Linked DNA regions of Drosophila melanogaster. The gene in region 2 interacts genetically with the main gene of each other region. Each region holds a gene or a part of one and is shown on either strand. Other genes may lie near its edges.

Region 1 (3,497 bases), on a different chromosome or scaffold from region 2:
TCTGCAGGCCCTGCATAACGTTCTTCAAGAACTCGTGGTACTGATCCTTTAATTCGCTCTCAAAATGCCAGTACGCGTAAATGCGGCGCTTCTGTTCGTTGCGCAAATTCTCATCCTTTTTCAGCTTTTTCCAATCAGCACCACGTGTGTGCACCGCCAGGAGTTTTCTGTTTGGCGGGAGCAGCACCTCCTGCCACAAATCCGTGAGCACTGCAATCACATCATTGCTGGCCTTGTTGGAGATCTTGCAGAAGCCAATTAAAGTGCTCAATGCTTCCAAATTGCCCAGTGGATTGCTCGTCACCAGAAGGGCGCCCGCATTGGCCCGATCCTTTGCAGTACCCTTGTGCAGAGCGGTTTGCAACCAGCGAGCATCCGAGGGATTACCTAAAGATGAGATAAAAACATTAGTAGGGGTTCCAATTTCCGAGTCGAGAAAGTCTTACGTTTATTAAAAGTTATCTTCTCCGCTTCGAAGGAATTCTTGCAGAGATTGTACAGCTCCAGCTGATCGTTCTCCTTCATGTCCAGCACCTCATCGGTGGACGGATAGTCGGGATGCTAAGATACGATAGTGATAACTATAAATGATTTATTTCCACGATTTCAGTTTAGTTTCAACATACCACATGATACCACTTCTTTTGGGACTCCTCGTCTTCATCTATTTTTGACTGATATTTGTTGTGCTTTTTGGAAATGGAGTCCCCCAGTTCCTCATCACTGTCTCCATCGCTGTCGGATACATTTTTTCCAGCTCCATCCTCATCAAACTTGATTCGTTGGGGCTTTTTAAAGTTCTCCTTGGACTCTCCGTCATCTCCAAACTTGATTTTTTGGGACTTCTTGGTCGGTTCCGTCTTTGTGTTGGAAGAATTCGCAGTTACTTCATCTTCTCCATCATCAGTGAACTTGATTTTCTGAGGTTTATTGGCGAAGTCCGACTTTTGACCATTATGTTTATGGTTGTTTTTGTTGAAAGGTTTTTGATGCACTGCTTCTCTATCCTCTCCAAATTTGATTTTCTGTGGTTTTGGTCCATTTTTATGATTTTGGTTGAACGACTTGGAAGCTACTTGTTCTCCATCATCGCCGAACTTTATTCTCTGTGGTTTGTTGGCAAAATCCGGCTTTTGGTGGTTCTTATTAAAGGACTTAGCACCTTTCGCTTTTCCATCCTCTCCAAACTTAATTTTCTGCGGCTTTTTCACCTGTTCCTTCCCTTCAAATTTTGGCCTTTGTGGGTGCTCCTTTTTGTTTTGTTTAACTACCGCCTCGCCGGAGTCGTCGAACACGATTTTCTTGTTTTTGGGCGGTCCACCGAATTGCACACCTGTGGCCACTGCTGCCGGCATGATTTTATATTTTCTAAAGCTATATATTAGATAAAAATCATTAAATAAAATAAACGGCGTTAGAAACAACTCGCACGTGTATTCAAATATGACATTCACCGCGAAACGTAAGCAACATATGTATGTCGTCTACTTAGTGACGAATTTCATTGTCTTTATGATATTAAAATTTTGTATTTAAAATCTTAAATAAGAGAGTATCCAACTTAGTTTTAAAATTTATAAATTATTCAGTAATTACCATTGAAATGACCGTGACTTTTGATAGCAGGTGGGTTTGAAGTTATATAAAGCTTGAAGTTATTATAATCTGATTATAAGTAAGAATAAAATTGAAATTCTTATATAGAATTACTATTAATTTATAAATTATTACATTAACTTATGTTTAAGTAACTGAAGTTGTGCTATATTTTCTTTTACCGTTACACCATTTTTCCACAATACATTTACGGTCTTACTGCCTTGACGCGCTTGGGATTTGTTAGGACGTTTATCGCATAGTCCTCGTGTTCGGTCTCGTATTTTGAAAGAAAATCGCAGATTATCGCCAATTTGAAGCGATTATCCCGGTCTAGATTTCGAAGGGGTCCTTTTGGATAGCGAACATTGCAATGAGCACCGAATCGGCGAAGCCGGCACTCAGCCAGGAGGCCATTGTGGCCCAGTTCCAACAGCTGCGCAATGAGCAGCGCAATTTGGTCAACAGTTTAAATACGCTCGAAATGGATTTGAGGGAACACAAGTGAGTCACCGGGGGCCCAAAGATGGATGACACGTCTGTTTGTGATTTTGGGCAAGTGGGAGAATCCCTGCAGACACAATGACATAACTCCTTATCCTCCCTAGAACTGTGATAGAAACTCTGGAGGCGGCGGATCCCGAACGGAAATGCTTTCGTCAAATTGGTGGTGTGCTGTGCGAAAGGACCGTGAAGGAGGTGCTGCCACAGCTGGTGGAGAACAAGGATTTCATCGCCAAGACCATCCAAATGGTCACCAATGACCTGAGCAAAAAGGGCAGTGAGCTGAACAAGTTCAAGGAGGAGCACAATATCAAGATTCGCGGCGAACACTTGGTTGCCGAAGGAGCCAAGGGCGACGATGCGGAGGACAAGGCGGAGAACCGTAATGTCCTGGTGTTCAACTGAGAGCGATTGATTACCTCACCACACCGTATTTATTGTGTCTATGTTGAGAGGGAACTCTGCCAGGATTTGCGAGCGATAATCCGCGTTTATTGAACACTTCTAATGTTGTATGTACTTCTAGCTGTAAGGCGCAGTTCGCGAAACGCCTCCAATCGCACCTTCACACCAACACTATCCATCAATTCCCCTCATTTAAACTTAACCCACTCTGGCCACGAATTAAAGATACCTTAAACTTCCGATTGAAATTAGTCATGTGTCTTGTGATTCATTCAAGATCTGAAAATGGATGGACCTCTATCCACCGACTGGAAACAAAAACTATATAAACTATATGATTATTTATCCCTTTTATGCCATTTGTTCTGAAACATTTTATTGGTATGTTAGTCAAATTAGTTTCCTATAAGGAAGTGATTTCATCTACATTTTTACACTTATGTATTCTTGCTTCATAAGTCTTTTAATTTAATATTTGTGGCTAAATCAAGTAAGCAGTAGTTTATTTTCCATTCCCCGTATCGTGGTTAATCCGGTTAGTCGGGTATTCGACTTATTCGACTTCTGTAACTATCCCATTTTGCGGCTCCTCCCTCTGGAAGTCCCTTTTTCCGCCGGATTTGCTTAGCAGGCGGACATTTGTGATGCAGATATCGTGAGAAACAGCCTTGCACATGTCGTACACAGTTAAAGCGGCCACTGAAACTGCAGTTAGTGCCTCCATCTCGACTCCAGTTTGGCCCGAGCAGCGAACGGTTGCCTCCAGCCGCACAGATTGTTCGGTTTTCAGAAGAGTGGCCTGCACTTTCACGGAGGACAAGCTGATGTTGTGACACAGGGGTATCAGTTCGGCGGTTCGCTTAGCGCCCATTATGCCAGCAATTTGGGCTACGGTTAGAACATCTCCCTTGGCCACTTGATTGTCGGCTATAAGTTGGGTAAGTTTCTCACCCACCTGAACGGTGGCCTCTGCACGAGCTAATCTTGTGGTC
Region 2 (3,431 bases):
GCGCACCAAGCATCGTTCCCACAATGCGCGGAACAAGCGCTTCGATCCGATGATGCTCTGATCATCGGGGTACATGAAATTCGCTGGCTTGATGTAGCTAACTTCGGGAAGAGAGGATCGATGCTTGAAGCCCAGCAGCATCATTTGCGGCTTGTGCAGATTGCGCACCCTGTTCAACTGATCCATGCTGATGCGCAGATCCCTTTCGCCCACGTTGCAAGTGTACCAACCGCCCGTCACCTTAATCTGATACTCGTGCTCGATATCCTGCGAGCCATCGTCCTTTTGTTTTTGCACCGTAATCACTCGCTTAGTACGCACCACACTGTTGTCCCTGCGCAGGATTTGCACTTTGCGCGGATAGGCGCGTCGCTGAAAGTAATTGTAGTACTGTACGGACATGGATAGGTTGGGGCCCAGATAAAAACTGAAGTGGCCCAGGCATCGGCGAAGGAAATCCTGCTTCAACTTACGATCGGACAGGATTTCGCGCAGCATCTGGGCATCTGGCACCTGGAAGGCGTCCAGTTCGATAGCTGCAAAAAAGGTCCTCATTAAACATCATCTAGTGTACGGATTGCTATATATTTATTTTATTATTCTTGTAAGCCAATCCAAAACCACGAACCAATTGAGCTTCACTTGGATGCGGGTGAATGATTGCTTATATTTGATCTACGAAGTCTTAAAACCTTTCAGGCGAAAATTGAACGCCAAACAGGGGAACAGACTTCGCACATTAAAACCCATAAGAAATGAATAGCAGACTTAAAGGACTTACCTCTTGACAACGTGATGAACTCCTTGTAAAACGGCTCGTAGTCAAAGTCATCGACCATGGGAATGACATGAAACTCGAACTCCTTGCCCTCCAGATCGCTGGCCTTTTGCAGGGCAGCCTGGAAGTGATTGCTGTTCGATGGATGAGGTTCCCTGACGTCCGTGACATAGGCGATCTTGGCGTTGTTTAGCTTCTTGCCGCACTTTTCCAGCATCTCGATGCAGAGCCGGATCATAAGGTCAAACCTGCCGCGACCATCGGGTTCCGCCAGGCCATACACATCGGCGAACTGCGTCTCCACCCCGCCCATGAATTCCAGATAGTGCTCCACAATGGGTTTGGTTAGTTGGCGAAGGGGCAAGAACACTGCGCAGTTATCCGGCATTACGATGTTGTCCAATGCACTGGCTTCCAGCGGCGGCGGACTGTGCTTGGTGTTGGCGAAGATGAGTCCGATGAGGTCCTTGTCGTTAACCAGAAGTCCGGATATAAAGGCCGTCCGGATGATGTTCAGTGCCTCCAACAGGCGCTCCACGCCGGCTGTCTGAAGATTGGCGTCTACCACGAACAGAATGGCCTCGCGCCCATGGTAGTCCCGCTTCATGGACACATCCTCCTCGTCCTCGGACCCAGACAGCAGGTCCACATCGTTCTCCGGATTCCAGGTGCTCATTATGCGGCTTCTTTAGATTGCTAAAAATCTGACTTTCCGCTAATTTCACAAGAAGGCGGGCGCGCTTATCGTCGCTGTTGTTATCGATTGAGCTAGGGATGAGAGTCACGAAGAGAATTGATATATATTTAAATTTATTTAGACATTATTTAATGTTTTTAACATATTATATTATCCCAACGTTTATTTATATAATTATTTTAATATAAGTTAGTTTTACATTTTTATACGAAGTTGACCACCACCTTTCGATGACAGCCATTCAATCGATTGTTCCATCGCAATTTTGACTCATCGACTTTTACAGCGGCAGGCTGACCTCCTGAAAATTAAATTGCATTTGTAGACGGCACGGCTGAAGGCAACAGGATGACAGGAATAATGGACTCGGTGGAAATGCCCAAATTACCGGAAAACCAGAAGACCTTCGCCGGCATCCCGGAGGCAGTGTTCCTGGTGAGTGGTCCTAACCTACAAGCGTGCACCTGCAGCTGGACACTGCAGGCTAATTCGTGGTTCTTGGGCCCTTGCAGGAGGAGATCGACACCTTCATGTCGCAGCCGGAGAACGAAAATTGCGAAAAGGTGCTGCAGCGACTGGACGAGCAGCACGGCAAGTATCGATTCATGGCCTGCAATCTGGAGGCGCGGCGGCGCAAGTTGAAGTCTCAAATTCCGGACCTGGAGCGCTCCCTGGAAATGGTCAATGTGCTTCGCAAGGAGGACGAGGAGCGCGAGACGCAATTCCTGCTCAGCGACCAGGTGTTCATCAAGACACTGGTGCCGCCCACGAAAACAGTATACCTCTGGCTGGGGGCCAGCGTGATGCTGGAGTATCCGCTAGACGAGGCGGAGGCTCTGCTGAACCAGAACATCACATCGGCCGTGGGCAACCTAAAGTCCGTGGAGCACGATCAGGATTTTCTGAGGTCAGTTCGAGTGCTGTTATTCAAGTTACTTGTTTTATTGTATTATAAATGTATATTTTAGGGATCAAATCACAACTACGGAGGTGAACATGGCGCGGGTCTACAACTGGGGCGTGAAAAAGCGGCAGGCCGCTACCAAGACCACCGCCACTACCCCATCCTAAGGAGACCCACCCAAATCCCATCCCAAGATCAACATCGGTAGCAGCCACTCGCATCTTATTTATTTCGACAGTACACCGCAAGGGCTCGGCAGGCGATTCCACCTGGCTTATTCTTGTTCTCCACTGATAGCAATAAAACCGCCACACAAACGCATCAAGCTGACTCCAAACGAGATGCCTATTCCGGAGGAATGTAATATTTTAATTTGGCTACGGGCATTTAACTGCATGTAAACCGAATAAACGGCGAACGCAATTCATTGAGAGTAAAGCCGAATTCACAAATCATAGGATTAGGGTTCAGTTTATTTCAAATCTTTAACATCCGGAACTTACACGCCTCATTTGACCTCCCACTTCATGGATTGGTGCAGGTAGTCGCCATCGGGACTGACGTAATCCTTAATGGGGGGCGTGGCAACGGGTCCTTTGACGGCGACGGGCAGCAGCTGGGGATCGATATCGATGGCCGCCTGGTAGAGCTCCTCGGACTCGCGCCGAAGTTCCGCCAGCGCCTTGTTTTGCGCCTGGACCAGCCGGTCGATGATCTGAAAGTCTGCTACGCGCTCGTCGTGCTTGTAGTGCGCCCACTGCTTCTTGAGGAGAGCACGTTCCTCCAACTGGTCGATGGTCAGTGGAGCTAGCTTCCGCTGCCGTTTGCTGAACGATAGGATAGCATTACATCTCAGCATATGAGGGAAACCCGTATGAGAACCTACTCCTTTTCGTCGATGAGCTCCAGTGGAACCTCCAGTTCATCCACGGGCTTCAGCTGACGGGCATTCTTCTCCAGCCGGCGAATCTGCTTTTCGATCTTCTTCTTCTTGCGATCCTCGCGCTGCTTGACAATCTGCGGATCCAGTTTCTTCTTTTTCTTCAGGGGCT
Region 3 (4,608 bases), on a different chromosome or scaffold from region 2:
AAAACAAAAAACTTACACTCCAGCTTCATGAAAATCGCGTGTGGGAAACCGTAGCGTTAAGACTACCATAATATATATATATATATATATTAATTAGATTTATTGCATACAAGGCCGTCTGAACCACAATGGTACGTAGGCCCACTTCCTACGCTGAAAATATCATGTCATGTCCTCTTCAAGGGCGAATTACTTTTGTTTATGCAGCATTTGCTCGAAAGTTGAGGTAGGTAGGGCAAATCATTGTCAATAAATAAAAAAGGTCTATAAATAAACTAATGTGAATGAAATTATCAATCATCACAACATAACCATGTCCAAAACAAACACAGCCGGTGAAAAGATTTCTATTGTTTTTAGCTGGGAGAAACCCGATTAAATAAACATAAATTTGTGAATCCAAATAATACAATGAGAAAATGTACAAATACCTCGCTTTTGTCAAAACCTACATTAATGAGCCTATTAACATTTATACCAACACTCTAAACATTAATCAGCTTTCTTGGACTACAAAACGCAGTCTCATAATCCTCGTAAAATGATTGATATCTCTCTTATTAATTATAAGAAACCCCAACAAAAACCATAATTGTTTAGACTTGTGAACAAAATTGGATCCGACTTTATTGATTACGTTGTTAAGAGAACAAATCTTTTACAACTGAATTCATTTGTTCTCGTTTCATTTTTTTTCGCAAAACATTGATCGAGAATTCGATTGATTTCCGATTCGAATTTAGTTCTCGTCGACCTCAGCCTCCTGCTCCTCCTCGAACTCGGCGTCCTCGTCGGCGGTGGCCTCCTGGTACTGCTGGTACTCGGACACCAGATCGTTCATGTTGCTCTCGGCCTCGGTGAACTCCATCTCGTCCATGCCCTCGCCGGTGTACCAATGCAAGAAAGCCTTGCGCCTGAACATAGCGGTGAACTGCTCGGAGATGCGCTTGAACAGCTCCTGGATGGCAGTGGAGTTGCCGATGAAGGTGGCGGACATCTTCAGACCACGGGGCGGGATGTCGCACACGGCGGTCTTCACGTTGTTGGGGATCCATTCGACGAAGTAGGAGCTGTTCTTGTTCTGGATGTTCAGCATCTGCTCGTCGACCTCCTTCATGGACATGCGTCCACGGAAGATGGCGGCGACGGTAAGGTAGCGTCCGTGGCGTGGGTCGCAGGCGGCCATCATGTTCTTGGCATCGAACATCTGCTGGGTCAGCTCGGGCACGGTGAGGGCGCGGTACTGCTGGGATCCTCGGGAGGTCAGGGGAGCGAAGCCGGGCATGAAGAAGTGAAGACGTGGGAAGGGCACCATGTTGACGGCCAGCTTGCGGAGATCAGCGTTCAGTTGGCCGGGGAATCGGAGGCAGGTGGTTACGCCGGACATGGTCAGGGAGACAAGATGGTTCAGGTCACCGTATGTGGGTGTCGTCAGCTTGAGGGTGCGGAAGCAGATATCGTAGAGAGCCTCGTTGTCGATGCAGTAGGTCTCGTCCGTGTTCTCGACCAGCTGGTGCACCGACAGGGTGGCGTTGTAGGGCTCCACAACGGTGTCCGACACCTTGGGCGACGGCACAACCGAGTATGTGTTCATGATCCTGTCGGGGTACTCCTCGCGGATCTTGGAAATCAGCAGGGTTCCCATACCGGAGCCAGTGCCGCCGCCAAGGGAGTGTGTGAGTTGGAAGCCTTGCAGGCAGTCGCAGGATTCGGCCTCCTTGCGGACAACATCGAGCACTGAGTCCACCAGCTCAGCACCCTCTGTGTAATGACCCTTGGCCCAGTTGTTGCCGGCACCCGACTGGCCGAACACAAAGTTGTCGGGCCTGAAGATCTGGCCGAAAGGTCCCGATCGCACAGAGTCCATGGTGCCGGGCTCCAGATCGACAAGGACAGCGCGGGGCACGTACTTGCCACCGGACGCCTCATTGTAGTACACATTGATGCGCTCCAGCTGCAGGTCGCTGTCACCGTGGTAGGCGCCGGTGGCATCGATGCCATGCTCATCGGAGATGATCTCCCAGAACTGCAAATGAGAAATGGAAGTAAAGAATTTGGGATTAGTGCGATTAGGACTTGCAGGTGCTGTACAGCATTTCTTGTGAACATGAGTCAGCAGGAAAATCGATTACTAGGGGGTGTTTTCTAACTCAGTCTTAAGAAAATGTATGAATGACTTGGCCAATGAGTCATCACAGAAAATCAATGGTAGTAAAATTACTCAAAGCCTAGACCATCTGCTGCATACATATATACAGCTAGTATTTATTTGACTGCTTCACATAAATCACAAAAGAAGTTTATGCTTAAGCAACGGTAACTTTTATTTGCACAAGAGTACTGCAGTTGAAGAAAACTTTTACTAATCACTGAAACTCATTTCCAATTCTGCAAGTAATTTGCTTAAAATTTTTCTTCCATACCCAGTGAAAGTTGATGCATGTGAAAGGCAATCTTATTTTCTTGTTTTTCTCTTAACTTATACAGATAACTTCGATACAGAAACCTTCTCGAACAAAATGTGTGATGGGTTATGGAAAGTCAGTCTATATATAACTCTTTATTGATTGGAATAAATGGGCACAAGAAGCAGCCGATGTACATACACATGTCTGGGCTCGGCTACGTGGTTTAGGCCACCCATGTACGCCATCATAAACTCTGTGTATGGGCCGAGCTCCGATTAACATAACTTATTCGCTGCCATTTTTGGTGCGTTTCCACCACCACGACCAGCAGCACCATCGCCACACCAACGATAACGTCATCTGGCGTGGGTTTTCGTTTCGGATCTCGAGGCGCAGCTGTCATTGCGTTCCGCCGACCGATCTTACTCGAATCTTCGGGCGTGGGCTGGAACTGAGCTGTATAACTACTATCTGTCTGTCTGTCTATATGTCTACGTGCTGCCCCCACGCAATGCCGGCGACCTCAGAGCCGGGCTCTGCCACCCCAAAAAGCCCCCCTGCTTCCGATGCGGCTTACATCACCGGTTGTTCGGGTCTCGCGACCCACTCTCGTCTCTGCAAGAGGGAAACGGAGGAGGAGTGGGAGGAGCAGTGGGTACCAGTTGGAGAGAGGCGTTGGCGTTGTCTGTTTGCTGAGAGGTTAAAACTGCAGCTCAGTGCTCCAACTACCGACCATCTGGCGCATAAATCGTCTGTTTTTCAGGGCATTACGTCACCTGAACTTTTTGCGATGGTCGTTGTTTATGTCGCGTAAACAAATAAAAACAATTAACCGAAATAAGTCGCTACACTGGTATTGGAGGAAATGCGTGGTTGACACTCGTTTAGCGAAATGACACCGTCATACCGGATTCTATGTATATAAAGTGTATATATAAATATAGAAATACACATTTGTAAGCCGGTCGGGTCGAAAGCGAGAGAGAGAGATATTGAGAGCCATACTTGGGCACAACAATTCTGATGTTGCAGCTGCTCGGGTTTTAAGGCGTTTCCGAGGGTTGTTTTCGGCTCATGGGCCCATGCCCAGCATGTGGGTATTGATTTTTCGGGCAAGGACTAGAAAGATTCGTCATCATCAACATCACCTTCGTGTCCTGTGCCCCGTTATCCCACACGCATGTGCAGCACCGCCCTTCTCGGTTTCGTTGCTTTTTGTGTGCGAGAGGAAACTGGGATAGAGACAAACAGATGGCAAATTCCTCTATATAAGGTCATCATCTCACCTTGCAGACTCCCAATTCCTACTGCTAAAAGTAAAGTTTCATTTTGGCACATAATGGCCGAAAGAGAACCGAAATCTGTCTATACTATAGTCATGAATAAAAAATAGAAAATTGTTTCATTCCATGATAAGATAGAGAAGCCGCCGAAGTAGCGCAATTTTAAGTAGGGAGCAGAGTGTGGAATGCATGAAAATCAATAGAACAGCTAATGCAGCCTACGAACACATATATCTACATACTTATATCCCATCTACGTATAAGATCAACTCTTATACGTTCTGCGAACCGTTCAACGACGACCGGTTCAGCCATTTTAGGTTAAAATGACGTCATGTTTTCTCTTTAGAAGACGCATAGCGGCAAAAAAAAAAAAATTAAATGAAAAAACCGGCCGACGCTCACACATACAAATGAGCAGCAAGCTCTTATGTGCGTGTAGAAAAGCTATCGTGTTTTGACGATAGAAAAGTACCCTTCACCATCTGGGCAGTGAAATGGCTTTCACAACCGGTGAAAAACTATGAAAGTCTTTCGCCCAAGAGAAAATGACTCATGCATGCAACACGCACACAGGCATACACACAGCCACCAGCGTCGGTGTAATTGCAGACACACCCAACTATAATTACTTACATATGTACATACATATGGGCACGAAGTACATATGCGAATGTCAATGGCCCTAAAGCATTATATCGATCGGAAATTCGGGCGTAACAAACTTTCGTTCTAAATTTTGGACCCCAAATGCCAGAGTAGAACAACAATTTTCAAGCATCTTTGCGAAATCGGACAAATATGCGGTATATACAAACACAGATGCCGGGACTCAAAAAGACCACTCGACACACACACGCACACAACTTGGTATACATAAATGCAAATGTGTGAGTGTGAAAATGCCGGCCTCAATA

What was found.
Region 1: of mgr (region 2) and Pfdn2, changing one enhances a phenotype caused by changing the other (phenotypic enhancement), as found in Drosophila melanogaster (one study listed by BioGRID).
Region 3: of mgr (region 2) and betaTub56D, changing one enhances a phenotype caused by changing the other (phenotypic enhancement), as found in Drosophila melanogaster (one study listed by BioGRID).

What each region holds. Positions count from the first base shown.
Region 1 is NT_037436.4:11,072,719-11,076,215, reverse strand, and holds Pfdn2 (prefoldin 2), read left to right. Parts: upstream 1-1,827; 5' UTR 1,828-1,969; coding exon 1,970-2,100; intron 2,101-2,204; coding exon 2,205-2,505; 3' UTR 2,506-2,924; downstream 2,925-3,497. Other genes in the region: Noc1 (nucleolar complex protein 1), read right to left, coding at 1-387, 447-561, 627-1,355; Mocs1 (molybdenum cofactor synthesis 1), read right to left, coding at 3,059-3,497. UniProt on the Drosophila melanogaster protein: Binds specifically to cytosolic chaperonin (c-CPN) and transfers target proteins to it. Binds to nascent polypeptide chain and promotes folding in an environment in which there are many competing pathways for nonnative proteins.
Region 2 is NT_033777.3:11,408,161-11,411,591, reverse strand, and holds mgr (merry-go-round), read left to right. Parts: upstream 1-1,716; 5' UTR 1,717-1,823; coding exon 1,824-1,910; intron 1,911-1,987; coding exon 1,988-2,382; intron 2,383-2,443; coding exon 2,444-2,546; 3' UTR 2,547-2,800; downstream 2,801-3,431. Other genes in the region: Irbp (inverted repeat-binding protein), read right to left, coding at 1-536, 782-1,454; mRpL40 (mitochondrial ribosomal protein L40), read right to left, coding at 2,888-3,206, 3,266-3,431. UniProt on the Drosophila melanogaster protein: Binds specifically to cytosolic chaperonin (c-CPN) and transfers target proteins to it. Binds to nascent polypeptide chain and promotes folding in an environment in which there are many competing pathways for nonnative proteins.
Region 3 is NT_033778.4:19,446,721-19,451,328, forward strand, and holds betaTub56D (beta-Tubulin at 56D), read right to left. Parts: upstream 2,880-4,608; 5' UTR 2,691-2,879; coding exon 2,607-2,690; intron 2,027-2,606; coding exon 740-2,026; 3' UTR 599-739; downstream 1-598. UniProt on the Drosophila melanogaster protein: Tubulin is the major constituent of microtubules, a cylinder consisting of laterally associated linear protofilaments composed of alpha- and beta-tubulin heterodimers.